2 linked regions of the Struthio camelus genome follow. The protein of the gene in region 1 purifies or fractionates together with the protein of each later gene. This does not show direct contact. Links are inferred from orthologs where the notes say so. Each region holds a gene or a part of one and is shown on either strand. Other genes may lie near its edges.

Evidence for each region.
Region 2: the proteins of VAMP4 (region 1) and STX6 purify together in Homo sapiens (co-immunoprecipitation; 5 studies listed by BioGRID and IntAct, counting the BioPlex papers as one, with this or other methods). This does not show direct contact. The link is inferred for Struthio camelus from reciprocal best matches to the Homo sapiens genes VAMP4 and STX6.

Annotation. Positions count from the first base shown.
Region 1 is NC_090949.1:8,654,620-8,670,283, forward strand, and holds the start of VAMP4 (vesicle-associated membrane protein 4), read left to right. Parts: upstream 1-8,657; 5' UTR 8,658-8,713; coding exon 8,714-8,780; intron 8,781-9,060; coding exon 9,061-9,173; intron 9,174-11,807; coding exon 11,808-11,854; intron 11,855-12,225; coding exon 12,226-12,276; intron 12,277-15,664. Other genes in the region: MYOC (myocilin), read right to left, coding at 5,254-6,041, 6,943-7,062, 7,245-7,719. UniProt on the Homo sapiens protein: Involved in the pathway that functions to remove an inhibitor (probably synaptotagmin-4) of calcium-triggered exocytosis during the maturation of secretory granules.
Region 2 is NC_090949.1:6,926,861-6,942,243, reverse strand, and holds the start of STX6 (syntaxin-6), read left to right. Parts: upstream 1-7,242; 5' UTR 7,243-7,317; coding exon 7,318-7,352; intron 7,353-9,398; coding exon 9,399-9,568; intron 9,569-10,185; coding exon 10,186-10,280; intron 10,281-12,075; coding exon 12,076-12,138; intron 12,139-14,463; coding exon 14,464-14,586; intron 14,587-15,383. UniProt on the Homo sapiens protein: SNARE promoting movement of transport vesicles to target membranes. Targets endosomes to the trans-Golgi network, and may therefore function in retrograde trafficking.

The sequences.
Region 1 (15,664 bases):
TGGAGCTGTTTTTAATAATGTTATTCTAGAGGTTTTTTCCAGACAATGATTGAAAAGCTAATAAAAAGCACCAGGTACCACATCAGTAGCAGAATTTGCTGTTTTTTTCTGGGATATCTTTTTTTTTTCTTTTTTTTTCTTTTTTTTTCTTTTTTTTTTTTTTTTTTTTTTTACATTTTTGGAAGGAAGAGTGAGTTGAAAGTCTAATGTGTATAATTTTGTTCAAATGACTGCAGAAGCTGGAAAGGCTGTTGCTGCTATTGATGCCTAGTGAATCGCTATTGGTTATCTTTTTATATAAATATATATATAATTTGAATTTTTGGAAACTTTAGCTGTGATGTCAACTTTTGGAAAAAAGTATCCCACTTGTAGTGTGAGTTGGCATTGTACAGAAATTAACAGCCATATTGGTCTAGAAATGTTAAACTTAATTTTTTCCATTTGTACAGGGGTAACGCACTGTATTAAATATGTAAGGTCTTATTTACATGGGTTTGATTACAGAAACTAATAAAGTATTCTCTAAATAAAGTATCCTGGTAATCTCATGATTAGCTAAACGCTACAGGATGCAAGCAGTTCACCTGAATATCATGTGCCAAGTGAAGAGTATGTGTTACAACTTGGGACAAGAGACTTGTAAAGGAAAACAGTTTGTGAAACAGCTTGTTTTTGTTTCTCCCTGCACTCACTGTTCTTGATCCCATTCTCCAGTGAAGGTCCCGTGGCACGTGGCTTCCCTCCAGCTCTGGAAGGAGCTACTAGCCAATTGCATTGCAAGACACGATCCTTTTTCTGGCACGTTGGCAACCTGCTTGGTGTTAAGAGTTGTATTTTGTTTCCTGGAGAAGATCAGCTCATTGGAGGAGACCCGGATGAACCAAGATTTTGGCCTGCGTGTGAGTACGAACGCTGGCCGTTCAGGCAGCCCGCACAGCAAGGGGCTGTTAAAAGCAAGAGGTGGCCGTTTCCCGCAGGGGGAAGCAGGAGTGGGCCATGACACGCATACTCCCGAGGAAGCACACCTTTCTCCTGGTGCTGCCCTTTGCGCCCAGGACCCTTCACTTGCTCCATTCCCAATTCACTGGTGCAGGGCCAAAATTAAACAAACTAGCCAAGGAACAAACACTTGCAACAATAAAAGATTCAAATCACACAATTGCTGGCTTTTTTCCTGGAACACCCTTACCTGCTGGGTGTAATGAAGGGTTAAACATCCTAGCAGTCCTTCCGTTGCCCAGGTGAAGGCATCCTTGTTTGCATGTGGCTTTCTGCATGGGGTTTGTGTGAGATGGGCAATCATGAAGTGGAAGAAGGGGGAAGGTGTGATCAGTTAAAGATTTGTGCTCTTCAGCTGGCCACCAGAGGGTACTCTTGATTCACAATAAGGACCAGAAGCCTTTCTCTTTTAGGTCTCTAAATGCTGAGAAATAGTCCCTGCCCTGAGAATAGGTGCTGGCTGACATGATACTTTCATTTATATGCATTCTTTGGAAATAAGAAACTTCTGCTGGGATATCTCTACAACTGCTGGTGGTAGCAGTGCGGATCTGCCTTTGTTCCGATGGCGTTGCAGACAGACAGCTGTACGGCAGTGGCAAAGCAAACCTTGGCCGGCGCTTTGGCTGGACTGGAAGTGATGATGTGGGGACACCGGAGGAGCTAGAGTTGTCTTGCTGATGTTGGTTCTTTTAGTGCGTTACTAATAGTATTGCAGCGATATGAATTTGCCACAGATGCTGTAATCTGAAAATGGAGCAACAGTTGGGCAGAGTTTACCTCTGAGTAGGTAACATCACAGGTGAAGTGAAGCCATTCCTACAGGAGCGGTACAAGTACAGTTAACCCTCAAAGGAGGAAGAAGGTGTGAGAACTGAGTAAACTTTTAGACATTGGTGTGATCTATAATGTGCTACAAAAGATGATTTTAACGGTAAACAAGTTGTGTATTAAAAATAGGGTACGATGATGGTGTACTCACTCAGAACGTTTCCATCACTTGAGCTCTTTCTGATTTTGTGGCTTTATGCTGATGCTTCCCTATTTGAGAAGGGAAAGACCCTTAAAAGTCCAAAATCATTCCCTGGACTCTTCTGTAATTAAAAAGAATACTGCTGAAAGGATTAATTTCAAGTTCTGTAGTAAAGCCACTAGAGAAGTCAGATAAGTTTTCCAAATATTGCAGTGGGAATGTGCTAGGCTTTCAGCTACTACTTGTGTTTAGCAGAACAAGGATATTTCTGCAAAAACTTAATCAAAAGCAAACGTCTGACGATGTAGCGCATCTGAATAAAGCCATTTTGATGTATGCTTCCCAAATAGCCTTGAACCACCTCCGTGGCTTTTTAAGGCCAAGCTAAGCATTCAGTCAAAGCTGACCCCAGTTCATTCAATATTTTTGTGATATTTGCCTAGATAACTTGCTCTTGGCCGTTTCCAGCTAGGCTGCGTCTTGCTTTTTCCTTTGAGTGGGATCTGCTGTGTAAGCTCTTTTCTGGGGCTGTCTAGTCATCACAAATAATTGTGTTGAGAACGTCCCCTAAATTAGGGAACTACTTTGTTTGGGGAATTCTCTAACTTTGTTGTAAAGTTCAGTCTGTGAAAAGACCACAGGCAAGAGCAGAAGTGGAATTAATGTGACCGGGGTCAGATCCAGCAGCCGTGCTCAGCGCTGTGCTTTCTGCTCATCGGGAGGTGGGAGGGGGAGGGATGGATTCTCTTTTGGGCTTGTTCTGAACAGCCTATAAAGCAAGTCTGTGTATTTAGAAGGGCTCAGCTCAAGCCCAGCTTTCTGGAAATCTTGTGTACGTTGGCTGGTCTTCATTTATTTTCTTAGTCAATGAAATGATGGACTTGTCAGCCTGAGAAGACCCAGGAGCTGGCAGAGATCGGGGCGCTGGGTCTGTGTGGGTTCAGTGTCTCGACTAGCGCTGGTGTTCCTGCGATGATTTCTGAACAAGCCATCGCTGTCTCACCGCTGCCCCGCGTCCCGCTGCTGTGGCTGGGGAGGAGATGGGAGCATGAGGGAGGGGGCCAGACCTGCACCGCCTGGGGCCAAAGGAGGCTTCCTCCTGCCGGAGGTGGGCGCCTGCCCTTGCCCCCTGTCTGTTTTGGGTAAGGACCTTGTGTTTTCCAGTTCCCTGCAGCAGGAACGACCCCGTTAACCGGTCTCTGCGGGGGCTCGGGCCAGCCTGGCTCGGAGGTGCCTCGCGGCAGGCGTCGCTCAGCCTGGCTTTGCCTTTGCCCCTTGGATGGGGAGGGCCGGGGCCATCGTTCATCTCAGCAGGGCAACACAGCCGCCCCCGGCGGTGGCTTTTTGGAGCAGGACCAAGGGACCCTCTGCCAGCAAGTCTGCCCCGGGGACGATGTTGCTGCCGGGGCCCGGGAAGGGGTAACGGCGATGTTTCCAAAGGCCGGGAGAGCCTGGGACCAGCCACAGCTTTATTGGTAGGTGCCCCTTCCCCGCAGGGGCCGAGCCCGGGCGCAGCTCAGCGCAGGCCGACGTCGGCCCGGGCGTACAGAGCCCAGCAGGCCGGGACGGGGGGTCCGGGGCTGCGGTCGATGGCCGGGCCGCTCCCGGGCAGGGCCTCGTACACCAGCAGCAGCGCGGGGAAGGGATCGCCGCCGAGCGCGGGGGCCCGGACTGCGCCCAGCGGGCCGGCCGCCGCGGGGGCCTGGGCGCAGCCGCCGCTCCGCTGCAGGGCGTAGATGGCGCAGCCCCGAGGCCCCCAGGAGCCGGCCCCCGGCTGCCCCGAGGAGAAGGCAGCGCGGCTGGCCGCGAGCGGCGGGATGTGGCGCCGGTCCAGCTCAGCCAGTCCCCCCGGGGCGCTGGGGGCCGCGGGGAGCCGCCGGTGCTGCCTGGCCGCGCGCATGGCCCCCCTGCTCTCCCGGCCTGCCAAGCAGGAGTCGCGGTGTGAGGGGGTGGCCGCCGGCCACCCCCCACACCCCCCCTCACCAAGGCGTTTCGGGAGGGCTGCGAGCGCCTCGGGGACTCACCGGGGGAGCCCGCGTGACGCCGGGGCTGCCTGCACCGTGGGGGTCCCCCCCCCACCCTCTTGTCTCCCCCCTTCTAGAACGGGGCCCGGGGGGGGGGGGGGGACCGGTCGGCAGCAGCGCTGCAGCGAGAGGCCTCCCACCGCCTTCACCCCGGACCCCGCTCCAGGGGGCCCGCGGGGGCCCCGGCCTGGGAACGGCCCTCGTTGTAAGCCTGCTGCCAGGGATGGAGGCCAAAAGGAAAAAATCCTGCGTCCCGGAGGGACGCTCCGGGCCGGGCCCCCGCTTCATCCGGCCGCCAGCGCCACCCCCCTCGCCTGGCTTTAACGCAGCGCGTTGCCCCCCCCCACCCCGTTTCCCGGCCGCCGAACCCTATTTCTGGGGCCTGCCAAACCCCGCAGACGGCGCAGCCCCGCTTCCCGCCGCCCTGCGGGAGCTTGGAAAGAGGGACGCGCGGGCTGCGGCGGGTGGGTGATGTTTATTGCGACGGGACCGGGCAGGCTGTGCCCCTCTGCGTCGGGGCTGCTGGCGCCCACCCCCAGGCGCCCGGGGAGGGGCCGGGGGGTGGGGGGGGGAATCACCCTTCTACAGCATTTTTACAATAAATAGTTAAAAATGCATGCTCTTAAAACAGCGCGGGGCGGCTACAGGCGACGCGAGGGTGTCTAGAGCGATGCGGCCGAGGGCGGCGGGAAGGTGGTGGCGGGATGCTCCATCCTGCTCTGCTGAGCCCGCGCTGCGTCTGAGCCATCCCTGCTCCAAACCGGTGCCGGCGAGCGGCGCCAGGGCTGAGCTGAGCTCCCCCAAACGGCTCCTTGCGCGGAGGTCGGCGCCGCTGCACGCCGGCCCAGGCCCGCTGCGGAGGACGGAGTTGTCCTGCCGTCGCCGCCCGTCCAAACCTGCTGAGCCCAGGGAGGAGCGTTTTGCTGGCTCCACCGAGCGCCGGAGAAGCACGTTGTGTCGTCTTCCCGCGGTCGAGCGTGACCCAGCTTTGCAGAAGGTGCCAGCGGACGCGTTCGTGGCGCCGGGGCGGTCGAGCGGAGTAGGGGCAGCTTCGGCGAAGGCTCCCAGGGGCGGCGGCGCTCTGCCGGCGGGCGGGAGTCAGGCCCGCGCTCGGGGAAAGCTGGGGAGCAGCGCGGGGTGGGGTGCGTGTGCGCGCGCGGGGTCGTGAGGGCTCAGCCGTCCCCCTCCCCGACCCCAGAGCCCCTGCTTCACGTGAGCGAGCGCGGCACGTCCTCCTCGCGCCCCCCGCGCTGCTCACGCGCGGGCGAGCCGGACGGGGTAGGCGACCATGTGGAAGCTGTCCCACGCGAAGAGCTGCCGCTCCGCGGGGTTGTAGTCCACCATGCTGACGTACTGGTAGCGGTTCTCGAAGGGGATGCTCAGGGGCCGGCTGGTGCCGGTGGCCGTGTCGTAGGAGAAGTTGACTGTGGCGTTGGGGACGGTGTAGCTGCTGATGGTGTAGAGGACGCCGCAGATGATGAAGGCATTGGCCACCGACTGCTTGCGGATGTTGGTCTCCCAAGTGCGCTGGATCTCCAGCGTCTCCGGGTCCAGCTTGGACAGCACGATGGCCCCCTTGGCCTTCTCGGTGCTGTAGATGACCCAGAGCCCCGTCTCATCCACCGCCAGGTCGATGTCCGTGTAGCCGCCCCAGGAGTAGGGGTACTGCCCGTGGTAGCCAGCGCCGGGGATCTCCTTCTCGACCGCGATGGCCTCTCCCTGCAGGTCGTACTTGGCCAGGAGGCGGGAGCGGCGCTGCTGGAAGTAGAGGCCACCGCGGAAGACCACGGCGCCGGTGCTCTCCAGGGCCCGCGGCAGGATGTGCACCTTGGCCGGGTAGCCCTTGCTGAACTGCTCGGCGTCGTCGTACTGGAAGAGCTGGCGCACCTCGGTGCCCACCGTGTCCACGCGCCACGTGGTGGCCCGCGTGAACGGGGGCACGGGCTCCGGGTCCTTCATCCACACGCCGTACTTGCCGGCGATGGAGTCCGCCTGGCCGAAGACGACGGGCTCCCCCACCCACACCAGCTCGCCGCAGCCTGCTTGGGGGGACAGGGAGGGAAAGAAAGGCGTTATCGCTCCGCCGCGGCCCCAGCCGGCGGGGGCGGCGTCTCCCGAGAGGGGCCGGGCAGCAAGCGAGCGAGCGGTGGCGGTGGGGAAAGGTCCTCGAGCGGCATCCCAGCAAGCTCCTTTGGGGCAGGGAGCGGGAGGGCAAAGCCAGGTTTGTGAGCCGCGGCGGCGCGGCGCGCGGGCAGCTCCCTGCGTCTGGCCCCGGCAGGAGCCCTGGGGACAGAGAGGGAAGAGAGGCAGCTGTGAGCGCTGGGGAGGAGGAGGGGGAAGGAGAAAAGAGGGACCTTCGCTTCTGCAGGGGTATTTACAAGCCGCGGTGGAGCCCGCGGAGCCCTTTCACGAGGTGCCGCTGAAGACGTAAGCCAGGAGCCGGGTCGGGCTGGACGCTGCACCCGCGCGGCGCTTGGGGACGGTCCAGCCTGAGTTATCCTATGTTTTTTCCATGCTGCCTCCCCAAGGGGCTGCAAGCTCCGGAGACGGGGTCCGCTGCCCGAGGGGAGGCAGCCTTTCCCGAGCCCCCGGTCGGCTGACCGCGCGGGTGCTGCTTCGCCTGCTCGGAGGCTGCAGCGTTGCCTCGCTGCCCGTTTCGAGGGTCGTGCAGGGCGCCCGCACCCGCGTCCCGTCCCAGCAGCCCCCAGCGCCGCCGCCTCGAGGAGCTGGGGCCGGGGACCTCTCTGGAGACGGGCCCCGTGCTGGCGGCGGGGGATGGCGAGCGGGCAGGGAAAGCCGAGGAGAAGACGGAGAGAGGAGGGCACGAGGCGAAGAAGGCCACGGATAAAGGAGGGAGGCTGCTCGCGGGCGGCGGGGAGGACGGAGGCCGAGGGAAGGCACGGGCGGGCGAGGGGCGCGGGACGGGGACGGGGACGGCCGTACCCGAGTCCTCGGCATCGGGGCGGCCCGGCGCCGTCTCCTCCAGCAGGTGGGAAGCGGGAACCTCCATCCGGGCCGACTTCAGCTCCTGGTAGTCGATGGTCTGCGGGTCCCACGGGGAGGCTGCGGCGGGGGCCGAAGGGGCAGCGCGGGTGGGAACCAGCCCGGCTGCGGGGTGTCACGCTCCTGCGGGGGGGGGGGGGAGACGGCCACCCCGAAACCCCCACCACCACCACCCCCGGGAGCGGGACGGCGGGCGAGGGGGGCAGCCAAGCGAGGTGCCAAGCGCCACCCCGTCCCCTTACCTTGGCCGGAGCCGTGCAGGGCGTCGCGGGGGGACCCGCGGGCTCGGGGCGGGCAGCGGGCGGCCCGCAACCGGGCCAGCTCCCGGGCGCTGCTCTCCAGCCGGCGCCGCAGCTCCTCCTTCTCCCGCTCCAGCCGCCCCTTGTCCTCCTCCAGGCGGGAGACGGCGCGCAGCAGGTCGCCGCAAGCGGCCGGGGTCGAGGGCCGGGCGCTCTGCACCCGCGGGCTCTGGGCCGGCGCGGCGGCGCCCGCCTCCCGGCTCTCCAGCAGGCTCAGGCGGGCGGCCAGGGCGGCCAGCTCGGCTCGCAGCTCCCGCCCGTCGCCGGCCTCGGGGCAGCCGGCCTCGCCGGGGCTGGCCACCGTGAAGGAGTAGGTGCAGCGGCCGGCGGCCGCGCCGTCGTCATCGGCGGCCCCCGGGGCCAGGCCCCCCCCAAACAGCAGCAGCAGCAGCAGCAGCAGGAGCCGGGTGCCCGGCATGGCCCGTCAGCTCCTCCGCGCCGGGAGCCGCCTGCCTCCGCCGCTGCCGCCACCGCCGCCGCGCTCATTTATAGGAGGGCAGAGGGTCGCGGCGGCGCGAAAGGGCAGGAAACTTCCAGAGCCGGGTTGCGGCGTTCGCCAAGCGGCCGCCGGCGGTCCCGGGGGGGCTGCGGTCCTCCCTCCCTCCCTGCCTGCCTCCCCCGGCTCCGGCCTCCCCGGCGGCGCTGGCCGCCCTCCGGCAGCCCGCGGCCAAAATATTTGCTCTCGGGGCAGCGCGCCAGGGCTCCCGCGGCCAGCCGCGGCCCCGGCGGGGGGGCGAGGGCAGCGGTGTCCGGCCGGCCGGCCCCCTGCCAGGGGGGAGCACGAGGCGTTAAGGGTGCCGGCTGCAGCGCCCGGAGGCCGAGCCGAGGGGCTTCGCTCCCCGCGCAAACAGCCCCGTGCGGTCGCCGTTAGGTTTTTAATGATGTTTTGTTTATTGAGTGTTTTTTTTTATTATTTGCCTAGCAGCGAGGGAGGGCACAGCCAGGAAACAGGGCGCGGGCGGCTCTGCGGGAGGCTGCGGGTTGCAGCGGCGCTAAGACGGCCACGGAAAGCGACCTAAGCGAAAAAAGGGAATTTGGGCAAGGGGCGCCCCGGGGCGGGGGGGGGGGGGGGGGGGCGGGCAGGCTCGAGACGAGGGTAACCCGCCCTCCCGGCAGGCTTTGCCTACGTTTGTTTCCCGATTCATTGGAAAATAACCCAGCAAGTCAAAAAAAAAAAAAAAAAAAGGAAAAAGAAATACACGCTTAAAGTCTGAGCGAGCGAGACCCGGGACCGCTCCCGCAGCCGCACGCGCCGCAACGCGCCCCCGGCCGCCACGGCGCCCCGCCCCCGCCGCCGGCCCCGCCCCCGGGGCCCCGCCCCCGCCGCCGGCCCCGCCCCCTCGGCTGGCCCCGCCCCGCCGCCCGTGGCCGATCGATAGCTCGGCGCTCGGCGCGGCGCGCCGAGGTGGTCGATGGGCCAGCTGACTCGCCGCCGCGGCACCGGCCATTTCCCGCCGGTGCGGCCCGGAGCGGAGCCCGGTGAGCGGCAGCGCGGGGGGAGGAGTGGGGTGGCGGCGGCGGCTCGCTGCGCAGCCGGCGGCAGGACGCCCCTCTCGGGGCGCCGCCGACGCTGCCGGTACTGCGCGGCAGGGGCGAAGGCACCTGGAGTCGGCGGCTCCCCCCGCTCCCGGTGCCGGTTCACCCCCCCCCCCCCCCCAGCAGCGACCGGCGCCCCGCGGCCGCCTGCCCGCGGCGGAGGCCGGAGGCGGCGGCCCAAGGCCCGGGCGCGGTCGCAGACCCTCCTTGCGTTGCCTTCCAGGGTGGTGCGCTCCCGTCGCCGTTCCCCCCCCCCCCGCCCTCACCACCATGCCACCGAAATTCAAGCGGCACCTGAACGACGACGAGGTCACGGGCTCGGTGAAGAGCGAGCGGGTAAGCGGCCCGCGGAGCCCTGCCCGTCTCGCGTGGGGGCGCGGGGGAGGCGTTTTACGGGGGTGAAGCTCGAGGTGGTGCTTCGGGCATGCACCTTCCCGTGTCCGTGATGCCCCGTGGAAACCTTCCCCCCCGCCCCGTGGGGTCTGTGTTCCCTCTCGTGGGCTGCCGGGCGGCTTTCTGGTGGGGCGGGAGGCAGGTTCGTGCTCTGGGATCTCTCCCCTTTTCTGAGAAGGGCGCTAGCGGCCTCGCGCCCCCGGCAGGGCCCCGGCGCTTCGTTGGTGCCTCTGCCCCGCGTTCGTGGGCACCCTCCAGAGGCTGCCACCTGGACTGTACTGCGTTTTAAAGGAAGGTGTTGTCCTTCGGACAGCTGTGACTCCCCTACAGCTTTGGCGGCATAACTCTCTTCGCGCGCCTTGATGGAGCGATTTTGTTATTCTGCGTTTGTCACCTGAGATGCTCCCGCGGTTTGGGAGGAAGAAGGTGATTGCGGTTTACCTTGCGATGTTTGTACGAAACGGCGTTTGTCGTCTGCCGAGGTAGGCTGTTATTTATGTAGCAGCCCCCGCGGCGCTCCTTACGGAAGGTGGGTAGGTGTTAACAGGCTGGCTGGCAGGTGCTTGCTTAGGCAGCGCGCTTATGTGATGTGGTGTTTGCAGAGCTGGCGGGTCGAGGGAGGCTGTGCAGCACGGATCTCCTCTCCTGGAATCGCTCTGCTGTATTCGCAGCGCTTTTCTGTAATTGGCCTTTTTGCAATTCTGAAGATCCTGCCCTGTGGTGGAACCCCAAGATTTACCTGAGTTACCCTGTGCCGTTAGCTGCCAGGCCAGTTCAGGGTAAGTTATAGCTCCCCTTGCTGAAAGGGCTTGTGCTACCGTGGCATTCGGTCAACAGGTCCCAGAAGCCAATATCACCGTTGATAACGAAATTTTGATAATGAAGGGACTCTCCGTGCAGTTAATTTACTCTGTATTTTTAAAAACAAAACCAACTCCAACAAACGGTGTCTGTTTGGAGAACTTGCTTCAATTCCTTCAGGTCGCATTTACCACTGCGAGAACCCAGTGTGCTCCTGTTTCCTGATGGGAGCTGCCTCTAGGGAAAGCTTGTCCTGGTCACGTCGCAGCTCTCTTTCCCCAAATAGCTGTCTGAAAGGCTCGTGTGAAGTTACAGTGTGGTGCTCTGCTTTACAGATGAATTTTTTTCCTGTCGCTAAGGTCCCTTTACGTTCCAGGCTTTGAAATATGGGTCAAAATGGTACACTTGCCTGTTTCAGGCTAAGTGCGTTCACCTTGATGTGCCCATCCTGGGGTCGTGCAGTGCTGAAACCAAGTTTTGGCTGTAGTCTAAAACGTTGCTCCGGCTCCTGCTCCCTGTCGGTGAAATGAGGATCCTGTGCTGCCAAGAGCAGTTCACTCATCCCTTGAAGGAAGTGATGGCTTCAGCTCATGCATGTTCTCACAGGTTGCTTAAGCTGACTGAGCAAATATGACAAAGCTGAAACGTAGGTAGGCTTCAAAATAAGAGCATTGCATTTGCAGGTGGGAGCTCAAATTTATGCATGGGGGAAGCAGCATCTGTTGGTGCCGTAACGATAGAGTCTGATGTGTTGCTGGGCCCACACACGTAGGGTGCCACATCCCCTCTTGATTATTTTTAATCCTAAGCATCTGTGACTGGGACCCCTCAGCCTGAGTGGTGAATTCCTGTTGCCACGGTATGAGAGAGGAACTCTCATAATACCTTCCTAGCCCAAAACTTTTGGGTGCAAGTGGGATTGTGAGGCTGACTTTAAAAATCAGCCTTTGTACCAATTGGTGAGGTGTGGTGGAACAGCAAATCTGAACGCAATGAACTGCTGAAGAGAGCAAATCGGGAGATGTGCGTGGTCCCTGAATCAGGATGTGCGTTTGGGCAGGAAAAAGGAATTTGTTCTCTCAAATCCTGTCCCCTTCTGAACGTTACGGGAAGACATGTGCAGGAGGATGAGTCCTTCAGTGTGAATCAGAACAGGTAGCAGAGCACTCCTGCTTTCCGCTCTGTCTGCAGCCTTCACCTCCTTGTGCAGGTCGGAAGGGCCAACCCGCCCGGACGTGGCGTATAGGGGAGGCCAGAGTCTGTTTCAATGTTATTGTCCTCCTTGAATAGGCTGTCATCAGATGACTGCAAAAACAGCATCCTCTGAATCAGCAATAGATCCGACTTTCCATGTGGATGAGATACTCCAGGTAGTTGCAGGTGATACAGAAGTTTTGAGCTGCTACTTCTGATTGAGCATAGTGCTTTGGATCCTTCCTGGAGCCGAGAGGGCTTTCCCACCCCAGCTGGCATGAGCAGGGACTCTGCCTGCTGTTTTCCAAGGCAGGGTTCAACATACTGGTGGACTGGCCGCTTACTTCATCGTGGGAAGGTATACGGATGCTTGGAAGAGAAGTAGGATCTGAAGCTACATAGGAACCTGGCAGTTGATGCGAACCTGCTTTGGATCAATGGCAGTGATGTGAGAGTTGTCCCAAAGCAGAGCTGCGTAGCAGCCTGTATTTTAGAGGTGTGTGCTTGTGTCCTAAGGTCTGGAAACGTGTGTGTGAAATGGCGGATGCTTATTGACGCGATGGGTTTTTTCTGTGTTTGCAGAGGAACCTTTTAGAGGAAGATTCAGATGAAGAGGAAGACTTTTTCTTGTGAGTTTCTGCATGGGTGTTGTAGGGAATGGGATGTCTTAACTAACTAAAGATCTGAGACTGCAGGTGCTGAAAACCAAAAGCTGCTCCTTGCCAAACAGGTGAGGGCTTACTGTTATCAAAGCCTTTGATTCCTTGGAGATAATCTCCCAGAGCCTTGGCAGCAAGCATGAATGAAGACTTTGCAGGTGTGACCTGTGTAAAACTGGGGCACCCCACATATTAAGATATGGGAGGGACTGATGAGGGGCATGAGAACAAGCCTCCTTCCACAAGGCATTGGTTCTCTTTGGCCGATCTTTGAGTTCTCTGGTTTAAATATATGTTTTCATTGCATCTTCCCTTATTATTGCTCTCTTTCCTGCTTACAGGAGAGGGCCGTCCGGACCGAGATTTGGACCCAGGAATGACAAAATCAGGCAGTAAGTTCTTGTTCCGCAGTGTCACATGGATAATATTTTATTCTGACATTACAAGCTCCTGCTGCTCTCTTACTGGAGTATGCCTGTGTAGTTCCGAGTATGAGCATGGCTTGTGCTTTGTTTCTCCTCCTTGTGGTTTCCTGCCCTACCTGTCTTCAGCTAAGGGAAATCCCAAATTTGATTCAAGCTATCCAGGAATTGTGCATTAATACAAGCAAAGGGATAGGATTGCAGCCCAGTAGCGCTGTGGAGTTTCCGAAGCCCATGCTATATTCTGGTGCTAAATTCTGGTGCTAAACTATTTCGTGTTTTTAACCAGTCTTTCTGGAGCATTAACCCTGAATTTTAAACTTGGGCTAGCTCACTGCTCATCTACCCTTTGTTTTTATTGTTTCATTGCTTCTTCCTTCACTCTGGAACTCCATCCTCAATGTTTCAAGAAAATGAGCAGTCAGGAATAGGTAAGGACTGTTTTTCTCGGGCAGCTGCTGGTCTTCTGGCCTCTTCTCCTCTAGGAGAAAACTTTATCTGGATGACTTAGAGATGAGCAATGACTCAATGGGGTCAAAGCAGCTGGACAAACAGGAAACCATTACAGCTGGAGGAGGATTACTGGCTGCAACAGAGTAAGAGAGGAGAAACAAACACCCTGGTAATAGGGCAAGAAGGAAGGAGGAAACACCTTGGATCCTTCTCCCAGCAAGTCATTTCCTGGATGGTGCTTGTGCTGAGCTCCAGTTTGCCCCACAGTTTCCTATTAGGAAAGTGATGGTGGCCCTTAGTGGAAGGGAGAGGATATTCACAGACCCCTGGGTTGCTGAACCTTGCTTGTGCTATGCTGATTCCTTTGCCTGCAGCCCCAGTGCCAAAATAGAAATCTGTGGGAAACTGATGACCAGGTGCTTAACAGATTGGGTCATTTTGCTTGCAGCCTTGGAGTCGCTCTTCATTGGGATTTTTTTTCACGCCAGGAAGAAGCCCAAACAGCTCTGGAATGACTCATTGCCAACGTCAGCTATAGGCAATGCTTGGTCGTGTGCCTGCTTACCATGTTATCTTGAGTCACAAGGTGCACTTGAGTTACAGAGGAGACAGGGCGGTGGTCACTCTGCCCTGAGTTTACAGGGGGTCTCCGCTCCCTCTGGTGCGGTAGGATGCTGTTAGTAGAGCCAAACTCTTTGTTATAGCAAGCTGGTGTGGAGAAAGCTTCCTTTCTAGTGCAGTGCCACACTGGTCTGAAGTAAATGGGGGGGGGGGGAGGGGGGAAGGATAATTGTCATCTGTGAGAGTGGTGTTCCCTCCCCTTCCCACCCCCCCTGCAACCAAGTGGAGAGGGGGTAATGCCTACCCCTTAGTCCTCCTGTTCCAGAGAAGGATCACAGAGTGTCTTCTGTCTTCCCTGCGTGGTGGAGGAAAACAAGAGCTCTTCTCTTCTCGCTTTCTTGGCCAGCCAGAAGGGAGCAGGGCCTTGGGTAGAGGAGTCATGGGAGTCTGTGGGAGCCAAGGAAGAGTGTGTTTTCCAGGTGGCAGAGGATAGCACAACATCTATGAAGGGGAAGTAACATGAAAGAAGAACTAATCCAGGAGCTCATAGGTTGTACAGCTAGTTCATAGGTGTGATGTGACTAACATCCAACATATATGAGCTTTGGCGGTTGCCTGTCCAGCCATATAATTGTCTGGACCTGCTTTAAGGAATGTTCCTAAACCTTCCCTTGGGGGAACAAGCGGCTACATGTATCTAGGCTCTCCAGGCCATATGCAGTAGTATCTATTTTCTACTTTCATCAGAGGTGGTTGGCATTTGCAGTATGTAGTGATCACTTCTTGTCAAGTAGCTTATTATTACGTTTCTGATCAGACTGACCTTTGTGCTGGATGGGGTGATGCCTGGTCTCATAATGGTACAGATCTCTCTTGTTTCAGCAGAGGAGAGAGTGTTGGGTTGCTGCTGAAGTACTACAAAGAAAATACGTTTCAAGGAGAAATTTGAGTATTTGGAGAGCTGAGGCATAGTTGGGCAAAGCTAGAGAGACTGGAGCTGTACAAGGCTGGAGGGAATAACGTGAAGATAGGTGCAAAAGGGGACTGGGCAGAGGAAGAGGTGATGGGAGCGTGACAGCAAAGGTGTGGAGCATATTCAGTTTGAGAGGTAAGACTGAAAACTTTTTCTTGCTGTTCTTGGCAGCAAAGCTGTGCAGAGACCCTCAGGGCTGGCTCAGCTGCAGGAAGCGATTGTTGAGAATACTGCAGACTTTGGAGGGGAAAGAGAGGAGCTAGAGCCGGTGATAATCGTAGGAAGTGTGACAGTCCCCTCTGTAACATCTTTTGCGCTGATATGCCTGGAGGGTCAGGCTCTGTTGTCCCAACAGCTGCTCAGTTGGACTGGAAGCTCCCATGTAACTAAGTGGGGTCCCTTAGCCTCTCTGATGTCTCCCCATCCCTGGCGCTATTCGGGTTGGAGCTGAAAGGTATTTTTTATCAGGGTTTTATCCTTTTCCCCAAACAGGGGAAAACAAACAGCTGTAACAAACAGGTTAAAAAAACAAAAGAGCTGATCTCTCTTCTTCTCTGCCACTGCTTAGAGGCCTTATGAGAGGTCCTGACTGTGTGTAGTGAGAGCTGTCAGTGCGTTTGCTGGCGAAGGGGGAAGTTTGTCTTCCACCTGAGTTTCTTTTACTTAGAGTAGGAGTCTGTCATCGCAGGTCATCTTTTCTGCACTATTACCAAAATCTCTCCCTTTTCTGCACTGCTTGAGTTCCTGGAGAGCATGTTCGCCACTGACCTGTCCCCTTTCAGGTGACCGTGCTGCTGGATTAGCATTCCTGCTTGTGCTGGAGATGCAGCTCAGCACACTGGTGCGGTGTACCCACCGCCAGATCTCGGTCCTTGCGACTTCTCTGTCGCGCTGCTCAGGGTGGCCGGGTGCCCAACCCTGCCTCCACTTGCTCTGGGTACAAGTTGCAAGCTACTGAGAAGGGGCAGAGTTTGAGGAATGGCTCAAGGCAAGAGTTGAGGGCTGCTTTCCAGGGCCCGGCTGCCCATTGCAGGAGGATGGGTGTGCTGTGGGTCCTGTAGTCCAGGCTTTCATTTAGAGATGATGCTGAGACTGTGTTGCTGGGCGTCATTGCTGGATATTATCCTTTCAAGGATGAGGAAGCCTCAGGGGAGGCACAAACTGCTTCGTTCCTCACAGCTGTGTTGAAGCAGCGACTTAAAAGCTGTGACTCGTGGCACAGCTCAGCATCGATACCGTCGTCGACTTTAGCGGAGATGCCCATGGGGCAGCGTCTCTGCAGACGGCCGTGCCCCAGTGAGCGACTGGAGGTTGTGCTGTTCCTGCTGCAGCTGCGCCGGCCTCCTGCCTTCGTGCTAGCTGCGCAGCTTG
Region 2 (15,383 bases), about 1.7 Mb from region 1:
CACCACTGATTTTTAATAGTCATTTAAATTTGCCTTCAACACCCAGCAAAGGAGGCCAGAGCTGGGAAGTTCGGCGGGGATTCACGCGACTGCCTCTCGGCTGGGAGGCCCCGTAAAACGTGGGCCAAGCGTAGCGTGGGTTGCTGCTGCTGAGCGCTAGCACGCACAGGCTGCCCGACAGCTGCTCTGTCTACGTTAGCCTGCAGTCGGACAGCTATTGCAGTTTTTTATTGCTATTGCTGCTTCCCCAGCAACTGAGCCAGTGGGAACACAAAACGTCAAAGCGCCTTATCCACGTTACAACAGAGCTGCAGGGTCCTTGGGCCGAGCATCTCGCTCCTGCTCCCAACGTCCCCCTCCGGCTTGTGCGAGCGCAAGGCGTCGCGCAGCCACGTTGCAGAAACGTGGCTCTGGATCGAATCGCCTCCGCCATCTGGCTCGCAGCGTCGCCTCCCTAACCTGTCGCAGTGGTGGAGCTGAGGATGTGGTTACCAAGATCCTGTTTTGACAGCGGCGCCACGGTAAATAGCTCCCTCCCACTAGCCAGTCGTTCCCATCTCCTGCCCCACTGCTTGCCACCAAATGTGCGGCCCGGGCCCGAGGGGGAAGCGAGTCGCAGCAAAGAGATGGAAAATCCTTCAGCCAGGACTGCCAGTGAAATTTGGGGTCTCTTCAAGGCGCAGGCTCAAGCTGGAGTTGTTCAACAGTTCTTTTGGCTGTCCCAGCTCCATTTCGGGAGCTGGGACACATCCCCTTTCTATTCAATACAGACCAGGATTCATGAGCTAGACTCTTCCCAGGAAGAAGATGGGGACGATACACACACATGTCTCTCACCAGAAGTTGGGTTGGGGCAAAATCCTTCCCGTGAACAGATTGTTCAAGTAAAAATGCAATTTCAGGACAACTAAACCTCTGAGGAGATCCAGGCTGCATCCCTCAGGGACTGATGACAAAAGTTTACAAGGCCAGAGAGTAACATTTCAAAATGCAGATTCATGCATAGCCACAGCCTGGGTTCTGGGTTCATTTCTAGACAGGAATAACAGACATCTGAAAATGAGCCATCTGTGAGAGACCCACACAGGTTGGAGGAGGAGGAGGAGGTTTGTTTGGCGTCAGTTTCGTTCTCTTTCTTTTTTTTTTTTTCCAGAAAAATCAATAATTCCCATGGATGCAGTCTCAAACCGCTGCAGTCAGATATCGATAACCAATCTCTCAGGGTTCCCAACTATTCTGGTTTCTCTGTATTTGAAGATAAGGCTAGAAGAGCTCAGAATCATCCCCAAAACACGGCAAACAGCACTAACCACTAAATACTGCTGAATGATAACAAAACACAACACACAAGTGAAATACAAACAAATCGATACAAACCTAAAACCAAAGGGAGGAAGTAGCTCCCTCAGCTTCTCGGAGTGCTAATACACCTGCCCGTGAAACCACAGCAGAGCGTGATATTACAGCAGAGTAGCATTCTCGAAAGCAAAGGGGTTTTTCCAGAGTTAAAGACCCCCTTCTCGTCCGCTGAAAAGCTAGCGTAGATGCTCCAGACTACTCCTTCCTTCCCCAAGCAGGCAGGACTCCCTCCTCCCTCCCAGGCAGCTTTCTTCATCAGTGACCTGGGATTCCCCCTTTTCTCTCTGCACAAATGATTTAAGATGTCCCCTCCCTCACTCTGAGCCAGTGGCTTGGGACTTCCCACCCCTCCCCTGGCGACCCGTGACCCAGACCCCCTGCCCTTCAGAAAATGCTGCTACTCCTCCGGCAACCTCTCCAAACACAAAGGGGAAAAAATTCCCACTCCCAGCTATCAGCTTCTTCAGGCAGCAATTTCCCCTGGAAAAATCTGGCCCCACATCTTTCACTGTTTTATGGAATTTGCTTTGGTTTCCTGGGGAAAAAACGCATTTATTTGTCCGGGGTTTCCTATCAGACAACCCTTCTATTGTAGTCTACCTTCCTGTATTTTTTTTCCTCTCCGATATGCTTGCAGCGGCTTCTGTGTCTTTTCCAGAGAAGTGCAGAGGACCGTGGTCTGTGTGCTCTCTCTAACCCAGTTTCGCAGATGGAGGTTGCCTTGTGTCCAGCAACCAAGAAACACGACAGCCCAGGGACCCTGCTTACAGCCTGGCAGACGGGTCTTCAGCTGCCCAGCGCAGCCTTTGCTTCCAGCTCACTGAAAGCCGTGCAACAAAGTGCTTCTTGCCGGAGCAATTTGCTCCGCAGCTGTGGCCTTGAGGGATGCACTTATCTTTGCTAAACAGGAGGCAGCCTCAGCGGCAATCACCTACGGCCCAAAACAGGGTTAAATATCACGCGTTAATTGCGTGAACTCCACATGGAGTCAACTAAAGTCCCAATTCAGGGAACCGTGGGGTAGACCGTGTGCCCAAAGGAGTCACAGTCTAATTATTTTTTTCTCTCCCCGTATCTCAATGTCACCTTCCTTTTAGCTGGCAGGCAAACGACTACTGCAGCCCTATGTACATCCCAGAGCGCAGATGTGTCCTCTGTTCGACTGCTTCCTATTTAAGCATGATAGGAAGGTTGTATACTGACACTGTCAAGTCATGGACCTGTTATCCCTGGAAGAGATTGCCTGCTCCAGTTCTCTGCTAGCAAAAGGGCGGACTGAGGTCCTTGGGACTTGCCAGCAAAATCCATCACACACAGCGCTTATTAAAAGTCCAAAAACAGCCAGAAGGGAGCCTTTCGCCTCCTCAGAGTAGCAACCGCCTGAGAAGAGTAGCAAGGACAGAGCAGATCATGCCTGTGTCAAACCTCTCTTCCCACAATAAAGGGAAACTGAAAAAGAAAGTGTCTGTGCCTGCTAGCAGGGTTTGATCTCCCTGCTCCTTTCGATCTGGGGCCCTCTCCCATTGTAGGGACCTGCCTTTGGCCACTTTGTCCTTTCCCTCTGCACAGCTGACCTGGTTTGCGAGGCCGACTAAACGACTGCCTGCCCTCGGACAGAGCCTAGAGCCCTGGCAGGATGCCTCAGGACAGTCTTCCTCGGACAGCAGGATGATGAGCAAGAAACGGTTATGGAGTAAGGCTGCCTAGGAAAAGGTCCTTCTAATTTCTGCCCGGGGACAGATTCACTGGGCGTTCACGTGGGTGCCGCAGATGTCCTGTTTAATATGCTCCACTGCCGTTCCACTATCTAAATCACAGCTGGAATCAGCCTGACCTCCTGTCCTGTCACTGATTGAAAAACATAATGACGACTTCGGCGATCTGGCACCTCACTACTTACGTAATTAATTTCTTTTTGAATCTGAGTAAGCTCTCGGCATCATTGGCATCTTGTGGCAGTGAGTTCCCGAGGTTCGCTCTGGCAACACCTTCTTTGCTCAATTTCATTTCCCATTGTCATCTTCATTAAATGACCAATTGTTCATGCACTATGAAGAGGAAAATTAACTTTCTCCAAAACAACCCTTATTCTGAATAGTCATCCTGCATCCTCCATGAATTACTACCTTGCATTTGCTCATTTATTCCATGCTTATTTGCATTTTGAACTTCTTTTTCTGGTTGCCTACTTAGGGGCTGCAGTGTCTATACAGGCAGGCCTTTCACTATTCCTACCCCAACTGAGGGTAAGGCTACAGCATGAAATCAGCTTTTGTTAGACAACAGAGAACCCGCAAGGAAGAGCAACATAAGGAAAGCCACAGCCACGGCAAAAGCTTCAGTCGGGCTTTACTCCTTCCCAGATACCAGAAAATCCAACTGCAGGCTGCAAGCCCAAGGAAACCCACTCCATCAGCGCTGCCACGCACTGAGCTAGTTGTAACTTAGCTGCTTCCTCTCACACCTTGCTGAACTGGTAGCCATTGCCTCTGCGGCCTTCACCTGCTCCACTTTGGCTCTATTTTGTGCCCTGGGAAGGCAGAGATCTCTTTGAGTTACTGACATTTCTCAGCTGCCTCGTAAACTTGTGGGCAGCTTGGTACCTTCCAGGTTTCATCTCTAGCTGGCTGAGCACGTGTGGCTGGAAGCACCCAGCATTTAAGCCTTCCTCTTGGCAAGGAACAGGCACCCCTTGAGACCTTTTTGTTTTAATACCTCAGAGTCACCGATATCAACATGACACACGATTGCGCAGTAGAGGCCTCGTGCCATCTGCCCCCTTTGCGTTTTAGAGGGAAGTCACCATAAAACCTCACACTGTGATGTCTAAAAATGAGGCTCAGAAAAGCTAGTTATGAATGCAGAGGGGCCATGCCTGGATAGGATTTGGTGCACACTCTTGCAGCCCACCACAGCACTGAATGTTTAACCACAGACTAGTGTTTTGTGTCAAGTTATCACTGGCCTAATCCTCCGGTTACAACCACCATTGAAAATCTTCAACAACTTTTACTAAAAATGCAAACAAGGAAGAAAGGCACATGGAAGCATCTGAAACTCATTTACCTTATTTCCTTTAATGCTTCTTCCTTTCATTGTAAAGCCTTGTCTATGGGGAAAAAAATCCCCTATACTTTTGCAAATCCAAATCTAAACAAATCCAGCTTTTCCCCAAGAAGGAAAAGCCATCTCTTCCATGTCAAATGCATATTGTTAACACCAGACTAGTAGCTAGTACGGGATCAGACACACTCCCCCACACACATGTATACACTTGTCACAAATATTCTTCTGATAAAAGTTTCAGTGAACCCAGTTCATTTCTGCGGACGGTCTCGATTCTGATGAGTTGGCACTTTTCAGCACAAAAGTGTTTAATCAGATCTTTCCTGACCAGTTCTGCAGCTGCGCCGTGTGCCATTCACAGAGCGCTCCTCACCCGTGGAGAAATAGGTTAGCTGAGCGTGGGGAAAGCCACCAGAACGCTCCCTAGTGCTTCGAAGTAAAAGATCGGAACTTCCCACAAGAAACAGAGCAAAAATACTTCCATCCTAAAAAAATACAGCAGCAATTTGACTTTCTTGTGTGTGAATTTACGACATCATGTAAATTAACTCAATTCCCAGCATCATAAAAAAGGCTGCCTTTTTTTCTTCCTGTGAGGTTTGCACTTTCCCTACATTTCAAAAGTGCCTCCTTATTTTCAGCCCTCAACAGCACCACGAAGCTTTATACTTTTTCACAAAGGTGTAAGAGCCGCTTGCTCTCCCTAAAGCGACGTGAATAAAGGTTTCACGTAATTTATTAGAGGACTTCCAAAATTCCCAGCTAGCAACTCTCAGGGGCTACCAGAGCTTTGCTCTTTCATTCCCAGCACAGTGAAGATTCAGTGGGATACTTGCAACGTGAGCGAGCTGAACGGCGCAGCCTCAGCCCACTGACAGCAAAGAGCTGCAGATTGCCAGACTTTTACAAGCGTTTGAACAAATCTAACCAAGATAGCGTTTGGTGTGATGCTCAGCATACACCATCTCTGTGAGTGCACGAGCAGACAACCAAGTAATTAACACAACCAAGTCCAAGCACGAAGAGCGACTCCCTGGGAGACGCTGAAAAGGCAGCAACAAGGCTACGACACGCTTCGAGCTGCCGACTGGCTGCTTCTGAAAGGTTTCACAGCGGAGGGTGTGTATTCACACACGTGAGCTGTGTCTCTGCCACGGTGTCCTGTACTTCCTGGAACAACCCGCCACCCTCTGAGCCTGTTTGTACTACGTATGTAGATAAGGTGCACTGCCCTGAGAAATTCTGCCTTTGCAGAGCACCCCAGCACCTGAAGCAAAGCCAGCACGGTACCTCTTGGCTGCACCACACGGCAGCAAGGCCTTGGCTGTAACATCTCTCGCAGGGCAGACAGGAGGAATCCAGAATGGCTCAGCAGCTCCAGGCCAGCCCAAGCTCTTCTTTCCCCGCTTGGAAAAGTGCTGGTGTCCCTCCTCCATCCAAAAGTTACGGTCAGCTCAAGCCTGCTGGCATTTCCAGAGAAAGGCAAGAAGTCCAAAGGCGCTAGAGCAGGCAGCTAGGGCCGCAGTGCAGCACGAGGGGTAGTGGCAACAGGGGTTATTTTGCAGGTAACATGAGGACTTCAGTGAAGGGGGGACAGAAACAAGTATTGCACAAGAGGAGCTTTGGCAGCTGGGCACGGGGAAGTTGGAGAGGAGGGATGGGAGCCCTGAAGAGTGCAAAGCGCAGGTGGAAATCACAGGAGGACTGCGGGGCTTGGAGGACAAGGGCTTCGGGGGGCAGATGTAACTGAGCGAGTGTCTCCTTGGCACTCTGCTTTCCGCTCCTGTCCATGAGTGCTCTCGGAGTCCCAAGGCAACTCCAGCTCTGCACAGGGCATGTTCAGCACAGCACATTTCGCGGGAATCCCCTGAAACCTGCCTGCGTGGGAAACAAGCCATCCGAGGTGATGCAAGGAGCGGCCGCAAACACAGCCCTAGCGCTCCTGCGAGTTGCGCCACACCTGAGAAGCGGTGGTTTTCCAAGCGCGGGGCTGGCCAAAGCAGCAGGCGGATGGCTCACTCGGCAAACTAAAGAAACCAGTTTTACACGCGCCGCAGCCTTCCCACCCCACGCTCGTGAGTAAATCTGCTGCGATTGCAAAAGCGACTTATCCCTTTCACATGCTGAGAAAGCATCTCTACGGATAGGCTTTGTACCTATTCCTTCGGCTAACCAGCACCGTCTTCGCTATCGGCACCGGACTGCAACCGCACGAGGAAAGCGGCGGCCAGGCCACACCCTCTGGTGAACACAGCAGCGATCGGGGGGATCGCTGGACGCAGCGCACCCCGGGCCTCGCAGGGCCAGCCCAGGCCGGGCGCTGCCAGGAGGGCGGCGGGGACGCTGCCCCAGGCCTGCCCGGGGGTCCCTCCTCTCGGTGCCAGCGCCTCGGGGCTGCCACGGGCAGCAACAGCCCTTTCCAATCCCTCAGAGCCGCCCGGGAGGCTGAGAGGCTACGGAGGAGCCTGAAGGCGGGGAGCCAGGGGCTCCTCGCTCAGCCAGCGGCCGCGGGGCCGGGCCGGGCCCTCCGGAGCGGGGCACCCCACGAAGGGCCACGCGAGCACAAGGGACCGGCTGGCCCTTCCCCTCGTTCCTCCCCCGGCAGAGCAGAGCGCAGCACGGCGGCCGGGCCGAGCGGCGGGAGCGGCCGCCGCTCCCTCAGGGAACCGCCGCCGCCGCCACCACCACAGCGGCCAACGGCCACACGGCGCCGCGCGGCGCAAGGAGGGGGGGGAGGGGCGGGCAGCGTCACGTGCCGCCCCCGCGCGCTGGGCGCAGGCGCGCGGCCCGTGACGAGGCGCGTGGGCGGGGCGGGGCGGGGGCGCGCGGGGCGCCCGGGCTCAGGCGGCGGAGGTGGCGGCGGCGGCGGCAGGGAGCGGGGCCGGCGCCGCCATGTCCATGGAGGACCCCTTCTTCGTGGTGAAGGGGTGAGCGGGGCCCGGCTGCGGGGGGTCCCGCGGGGGTGGGGCGGGCCCGAGCCCTCTGCGCGGCGGCGCCGCCACACCGGGGATGTCCCTCCGTGGGTGGGGGGGGGGGGGGATCGGGCCTCCCCGAGCCGCCACCACCCCCCGCCCCCGTGCGCCAGGCCGGGGCCTCGCCGCCCCCTCTGCTGCTGCTCAGGGGCTCGGGAGGGGAGGAGGGACCCCCCCCCCCGGCCCCGGGAACCCCCCCGAGGGCGGCCGGCGAGGCGGCGGCCCCACGCGAGGGACGCGCGTGGCCGCTCGCGGCGAGGCGGCCGCGGCGCGAGGAGGCTGGCGGCCACCCCCTCGCAGGCGGCTGGGCGGCGCGGAGGGCCGCGGAAGGGAGGCGGTCGAGGCAGGGGGCGAGGGGAACCCTAACGAAGAGGGGCGAAGCACCTTTGACCTCTTAAGAAGCAGGCCGGGGTGATTTCCCCGCTTCTGGTGGGAGCCGGTTGTCCGGCTCCGTGTCGCAGCGAAGCCGTGGGGACGCGAGCGGCCGTCCGGAGCGGTGGAGGGATTCGGAGGAAGCTGCTGCGAACGGGAGGAGCGCGGCACCAGCCGGAGTTCGCTCAGGGGGCGAACGCAAGCGAATCGCTCTTCCAGGTTGAACTGGTGCTATGGGAAACAAAACTACAACAACAACAACAACAAAAACCCACTAAAGGCCGTGGGTGGGGAGCAAACGTCCTGTCAGACTTTCCAGAGAGATTCCCCGCGCTGTGAGGGAAAGGGTTGGGAGGGGAGCGGGGATGTGCTGCCGCTTTTGGTGTTGATTCTTCTCCTGCAGGTTGCAGTGGAAGGGGTTGGTGTTCAAGCCCAGCCGTGCTTCATTCAATTTGCTTTCCTTTCATTCATAACTCCTCCCATCTGCAAACATCGAGCTCCGCTTTAGACTTCCACTTGTAGGGACTTCCTCGAGCACATTCAGATTTGAAAAAAAAAAAAAAACACCCAAAACTTTGCCTAGCAAGTAACAGAGGAAACAAACCACACTAGATCCTTAGTCCTGGCTGCTAACTTTAGGGGAGTAGATGCAACAGACTCTTTGAGCCATAAATGTCCGAGAAGAGGAGGAACACACATCAAGGTGCAGAGACTTCAGCATAATGATGTAATGTAGAGAGACCTGGAGCCCAATGGCCCTCCGAGGGCTGCTGGGTGAGGACGTGGTTCACCCATCTAGGCTTCTCCAACTGGTAAACTGCTTTGATTCACTGGAGATCAGCGCCCCTTGCACGATCCTGTGTGCAAGCTCTTGGATTCGTGGCCACCTTTCAAGAGCCAGCAAAGTCTCGCTGGCGTTGGTCTTGTCTGTCTGCCTCGTCCTGACTCGCCGTTAGCCCAAGAGAATGGTCCATAGTGTTTGTACGTATGGATAATCACACCGACAGTTACCTGCCCTCTTGCCCCAAACCGTGAATGCAGCGTTCAGTGCTGTCAGCAAAGCCTATGTTCCCATGCTGTGAATGCGCTCTTCTCTAAAAAGCTGAGAGCAGCAGAAGAGAGTTCTGTTGGCTAAGCCAGTGCAGTAGAGCCGTGTATTTTTTTAATGCTAAATTAAAGTAAACAGTGCTGCGCTGGACAGTCTGCATGACTGTAACGTGGGGGCAGTTCCTCTAATTCTGTTTGCCCTTGGGGTATCTTGCCTAGGTAGTCAACAGTCTTTAGAGGAAAGCTGTTGGGAGAAATGCAAAATAATAATTGCCAAATAAGAGTCTTGATCAGACAGTTGCACTGCCCTATCTTGCTGTTTGTGACACTGAACAGAAACCTCCGGTAGCTGAACTATGAGTTGTTGCTCAGCACTTCATGCTACAACACTAAAGGAGACGAGCTTGTCCAGAAGCGTGGTGAATCCTTATTTTACAAAATAAACCAAAAATACTTGAAGGAAAGATGTTTGGGAGGAGGTTGCACATCCCTGCTCTCCTGGACATGGGACTGTCCCTGCATGACTGCGGCAAAACAACTAAAAATAATCCCTTCACTTCTCTTTAATTATCCTGACTGCAGGGAGGTGCAGAAAGCAGTGAATACTGCCCAGGGGCTCTTCCAGAGGTGGACGGAGCTCTTGCAAGATCCCTCTATAGCCACAAGAGAAGAAATTGACTGGACCACTAATGAGCTCAGGAACAATTTGCGGAGCATCGAGTGGGACTTGGAAGACCTGGATGAAACAATTAATATCCTTTTTGCACTGCTGGTGCCGTCTTTGGAGGTAGAGAGAGGCAGTTCACACCTTGCAATAAACAGTCAAGTGCTCGTGCTCGCCAGTAGTTGCTTTTTGCAGAAACCAAGACTGTTCGGGATTGAATTTTCAGTTTACCCCAGGTTTTCTCGAATTGCAAATGAGAGAGGAAGATGACAAAACAGGTTCTGCGCACGAATTTCCCTCTGCGTTTTTGTTCACCTTTTGAAAAGGTGTCTATTAAGATGCTTTCTTCCCAGAAAACTGTTCTGTTGAATGAACTTGGATTTCTGTGTAGTCAGTCCTACTCGAGGCTGGCTTCCAGAAATACTCCTTTTCCCTGTGTTCGGCTGAACACTCCTGAAAGTGCTGCACAGCATCAGACAACCAAAAACCACACGAGCGTGTGGTTTCTTTCTCGTGCGTTCTGCAAAGTATGTTGCAGCCGTGCTTTTTTCCTTTAGTGTCTTGTACTTTGCTAATCGAATGTTGGGAAAAGGCACAGGTAAATGGAGGCGCTATACCGCGTGATAGACTTCTCAGTGGTCAGGATTTCTCTATCTGCGTACGTACTGCACCCTGCAAACAGTGATTCCTTGACTTGTTCTCTACGCATTGTTGAGGCAAACCCTCGGAAATTCAACCTCGATGCAACGGAGTTGGGTATACGGAAAACCTTCATCACAAGCACGCGGCAGGTGGTCAGGGTAAGGAACGTGGGCTTCAGGTAGGAACGGGGCACAAGCGTTGGGGTGGGGGGGCCACTTCGGTGGGAAAGCAGAAAGCTTGCGGCCATTTCAGTGCTGAACTGGAAACTGGTTTCCCCCGCAGTAGAGGACAAACCTGTTACCTGCTCTCTCTTGGGCTTCTTCCTCTTCTCCGTATGCTCCCTCCAGGGGCTTCCCAGACAAGCTAGGGGCACAGCAAGGATGTGGAGACCTCATTGCATCCCCTACCTGGCTTTCCTCCCTTTCAGCTGCTTCTTTAAATCTTCAAACGTCTCTTGTAATGATGAGCCTGGAAATGCCTAAAAACTGGAAATGAAGGCTAAGGATTCCTCTGTTATGCAGGAGAAACTGGAATCTCCCTTCGAGTAAAGGACAGCTACTGTTTCCTTTAACTGCGTGTCACAAGTTTTCAAAAACAGAAAGTCCACTTTGAACACTTACTAGTGTTATTTACATGGTGACTTCAACTTCCTACTGCTACAAAACAGTCAGAACAGCCACTAGTTTTTATTTTTGACTTTGGGAAGTTTTTTTTGGTTCAGGCTCACTCCCTTAAATACCAGTCCTTCGAACAGAAGTGGGCCTGGCAAAGCCCACTTTGCCCTTTCATTCCCAGCACAGTGAAGATTCAGTGGGATACTTGCAACGTAGGAAGTTTTCTCTGTATTAATATAACACTCTCTGGCAATATGGCTTAGTTTCTGCTGTCCCTCATGACTTGGATGTTCCTGCTTCATAAAAGGCATTGCTCTGGCTGGAAGCAAGCTTGTTATCCTACCTGTAATGCTGTGGTCTGGATACAGTTCTTAAAGCTTGCTGCTTGGGAACGGATCCTGAAACCGCACCAGCCCCAGGTAGCGGGCATGTGCTCGCTGACTTGCCCTCTATGTAGTACACTTCCCAGGTGAGGAAGAACAGGCAAGCCTGCTTTGTGGTCCTCTTTCTCAGGCTGCAAACTGCTGGCTAATGGATTTTGGAGCGATGTCTCCTACTGTTAAATGAAATTTTTTAGTGGCATTTTCCAGGAGGCTTCCAGTTTCCACAGGAGGAATTTGTGGTGCATAGCAGCACAGGCATTAGCTAGTGAGGTGCTTTTAGAAGATCTGTTGCACATGTCTGAACAGTAAAACATAGCTGCATCTTCTGGTGTCATCAGAACTGTGCTGGTAGATGAGATGGATCAAACTTTGATAGCTCATACTAACTATTTGATAATCTATCCTATAAGAACTGGACTACTTTAAAAAGTGTTTGGGATCCTTCTTTGACTAGCCAGCTCCTACAATGTTTCAAGAACAAACTTTAATTTATAGGAGAGAAATCTAGGCACCGTCAGAGAGGATTGCCATAGGACGAGAAATCTATCGTGGCCTATGCCATGTTAAACCAGAGGCAACTGGGAACAAAGTGCAGGTTACAGGCTTCCGACACCTTCAGGTCAAGAACATAACTCTTCTTTACAGTCTGTTAATGGGAAGATTAGTTTAATCTTATACAAATCAAAGTGTTTCTCTCTGTGGAGAAGCAACACTAAAAGTAAATAAGGAATTTTTTCAAAATATCCCGTTGCAAATGATTCTAGTTCTAGTAAAACTATGAACTATGATGGAGCCTTCTTCAGCATCCTTCCAGGCTCTTCAAAACTGCATATGTTTGTAAGGAAAATCCACCCCCGCAAGAAATCTCGCTGGGTATAGACAGCATTGTAGCAAACTGAAACCGCCTATCATCTCAAATCTAATGCTCACATACTACTTCTTTTTTGAACAAACAGGAAATGAAGGATCAGATGTCAAACTCTTCCATGCAAGCGCTGGCTGAAAGAAAAAACAGGCAGGTAAGACTCAGAAACAGGCAAGTTAAATGAATGCCATAGCCTTTTTGATACTTTAAAGTTTGAGGAGGATTTATCAGCTTTAGCAGCTGTTGTCTTAAGGTATGTGTCACATGAAACTTTCGTTTTCACTTACTCTGGGGCCCCACGTCCTAAGGTAGAGCGTATAGTGTTGAACAAAAATCCTTAAAAGCTGTAATTACAAAATATATCCTGTTTCGTAGCTCCTCGCCTAAAAACATTTGTGCTGGCAAGGGGGGCTTACATGTTGCAACAAAGCCGTGTGTTTGAACTGTGTCTGTTTTGCTGGCCTGTCGTTCCAGAGCCCACGAGAGAGCTGGCTCTTGCAGGCACATTGTCGTCACTCCCTTCCAAACCAGTCTCTCAAAGTAACCGGTTACCACTCACCATCTGTCTCTGTCGTCAGAACTGACCGTGTACAACTGTCAGTGTTGCATCACTCTTCAGGAAAGGGAATCTCCTTCCTTCGCAGGAGGAGCAGAGTCAGAATCCAAGGCAGTACAAGTAATCCTGTGCTCTACTGTACTTAGGAGCCAGGATGCTATATATCCTTACAAATAGCTGCATCTCATAATAGTTAACCTCATAAGAGGATGGAAGAAGTTCAAGGAGTCTCAGGTTGTCCGCACTTGCAATCTAAGTAATAGATGCAACATGTGCTCCCCTCCAGCTGACAGGGAAATTGTAAGGAGATCTCCAAGTCGACTTCCAAAGCTGCCTCTTGTAAAAGTTGGTGTGCGCTTGATACAGCAGACTTTTCTGACTGGATCGATCTTATTACGTGTGGCAAAAATGACAAACTCTGGAACAAGCTGCTGAGGAGGACAGAGCTAATTCCTGAGCTTGTTACAGGGTTAACTAACATGCGTGGCAAACACTTGAAGGTGCAAACTCCTTATACCCCTGCTCGGACAAGTCTGTAGATGTCTCTGCATTTTGCTGCTTTCCTTTCCTTGATGCTCCTGCTCGCTGTAGGAGGTCCAGTTCATGCAGTGACATCTGTTCAAGAAAACAGATTCCTCTTGGTGTCTTCCTCTCCCTTCTCCAGTCCCTCACCTTTCCTTCAGACTTCAGACAGCTGTATTGGGCTGCAAGGCGTTCTCCAGAGCGCCTCTGTGTTTGAGAGGCTGGCTTTGGCTGGTGGTGACTTGACTCTCACATCACTAAGCTAAGGTTGGGAAGTACAGGCTATTGAAGCTGCAGCAAAGCTAGTGCACACTGTTAAGTAAGTGATAGTAGGGCTTGCCCCAAACTGGAGAGAACCAGGAACTTGCCCAGTGTCTCGGGGGTGGACAAGAACAGCTGTCTGTCTGGCTTCCTGCTTGGTCCCTCACGGCTTTCTCTGCGCTCCCTGACCTTTATAAACCAGATGAACCGTAGAACCCGTCTCGCGTTTAACCTGTCTTAGTCGCCCGGTCCTTGTCTGGCTGCTCTTCACAAAGATGCCATCGTCCCCTCCTCCTCAGCTGCCCATGTCCAAAAGCTGCTCATCTCACCCTCCTACACCGCTCTTAAAGAGTTGGCCTTGCCTCTTGCACTGGTGGGCAAAGCTCCCTAACCTGTTAGTAATGCTGCATGGTGCAGCTCCTCGCCTTCTGGCCATAGATGATTCTCCAGCATCTGTCGGTCATATTACCTGTTCCAGGGGCCAGACTGACTCAGCTGTAAAGCCTGCTTCTCCATTGGCTTTGCACTGCTTTTCCATTCAGGCTACAGAGCAGGAAGCAAGTGTAATCTTGTATATTGGCAACTAAATGGTATGCAGCAGGAACAGACAACTTGAATCAAAGAACCCGAGCCCTGCATACAACACTGCATTGTGCATATATTGCACTGTTTTACTCCGTCAACTATCGTGCTCAACTGATTAAGTACTTTATCCAGACCCTCTTAAGCCCTAGTCATTCTTAGCACAGTGTTCAGTTCATGCTCTACATCTGTTAACACTAAATATGTGGATGCTTCCCAGCTTATATGTCCTCCTTGCACACTACCACACCTTGAGCAGACTTTGGCCTTTTGTAGATGTCCTGCTTACACTCTCTCCCTGTCTGCCAGTCATACTCCAGCTCGCCTGTTGCTGCAGTGGCATATCTGCAATAATCAGGCTGCACAGTTTTCCCAGGTTGGCACTGCATTGTTTTAGTTTGACAGCGCTCTGGCTGGATATCAGTAGAGTGGGGAGGAAAAGGATGCTGCTGTATGTGTTTGTACAAGAGTATCGCTCTATCCACTTTCCACTCCACGCTGTAGATGGGCTGTGAGCAGACACAAAGGTCTAGCTAAGGGCTTTCTGCATCTGTTTAGGCACTCCTGGGAGAAAGTGGGAGTCAGAGTTGGAGCTCTGGACCTGACAAATACAGCCGCCTGGATCGGGAGCTGCAATTAGCAAATTCACACTTCATTGAAGAGCAACAAGCTCAACAACAGGTAAGGCATTGCTTGCCAAACGCGTGCCAGGGAGGTGGGGTGCAGGCTGCAAGAGCAAAAAAAAAAAAAAAAAAAAAAATCCAGTCCTTGGCTGGTCTGAAGCCAGGAGCCTGACAACCCGCTGTTTAGCTACAGTATATACCAGTGTGTGTGTTCTCTGGTCAGCGTGGCTTCAGATGTATCCTGGTGCAGAATATTTTACCCTTGAGACTTGGATGTTCTGCTCTGTACAGAAGACAAACAAGATGATCTGGAAACTGGAGCATGCAAAACTCGAGTACTGCAAGGACTGCTGAAATCCTTGGAAGAGTAGAAATGTTGGGAAAAGGGGAGTGCACATTTCTCTTAGGCAGCTTTCCTTGGTTAAAAAGTGAGCTGATATTTGCTGTCGTTTGTGTGCATCTTCCTCAGAATAGACTGAGCAGGAGCACGTGCCTACTTCCTTTTTCTGCTTTTGACCACAAGATTCGCTAGATCTGCGTCAGGGCTTTGCTCGAATCCCCAGTGCAGTGGTTCACTGGAGCTGGTGGAATGTGTTTGGAGAAGTGCTGGGGCAGCGCACACGTCCGCATGCAGCAGCCCACCCAAACACAGGGCCTTAAATAGGCCGCTTCACAGAGGAAGCAAATTCTGCAAAGGCTCCTGACACATAATGCTGCTCTGGCTTTCGAATGAGTTTTACCTAGTGACTCTAGGAAGATAAACAGATTCAGAAGTAGGTAACTAGGGTAAACCTAATCCTTAGCGTGATTGTGCCCTGAAAATGACTTAAAACATCAGCAGACCTATTCCTTTGG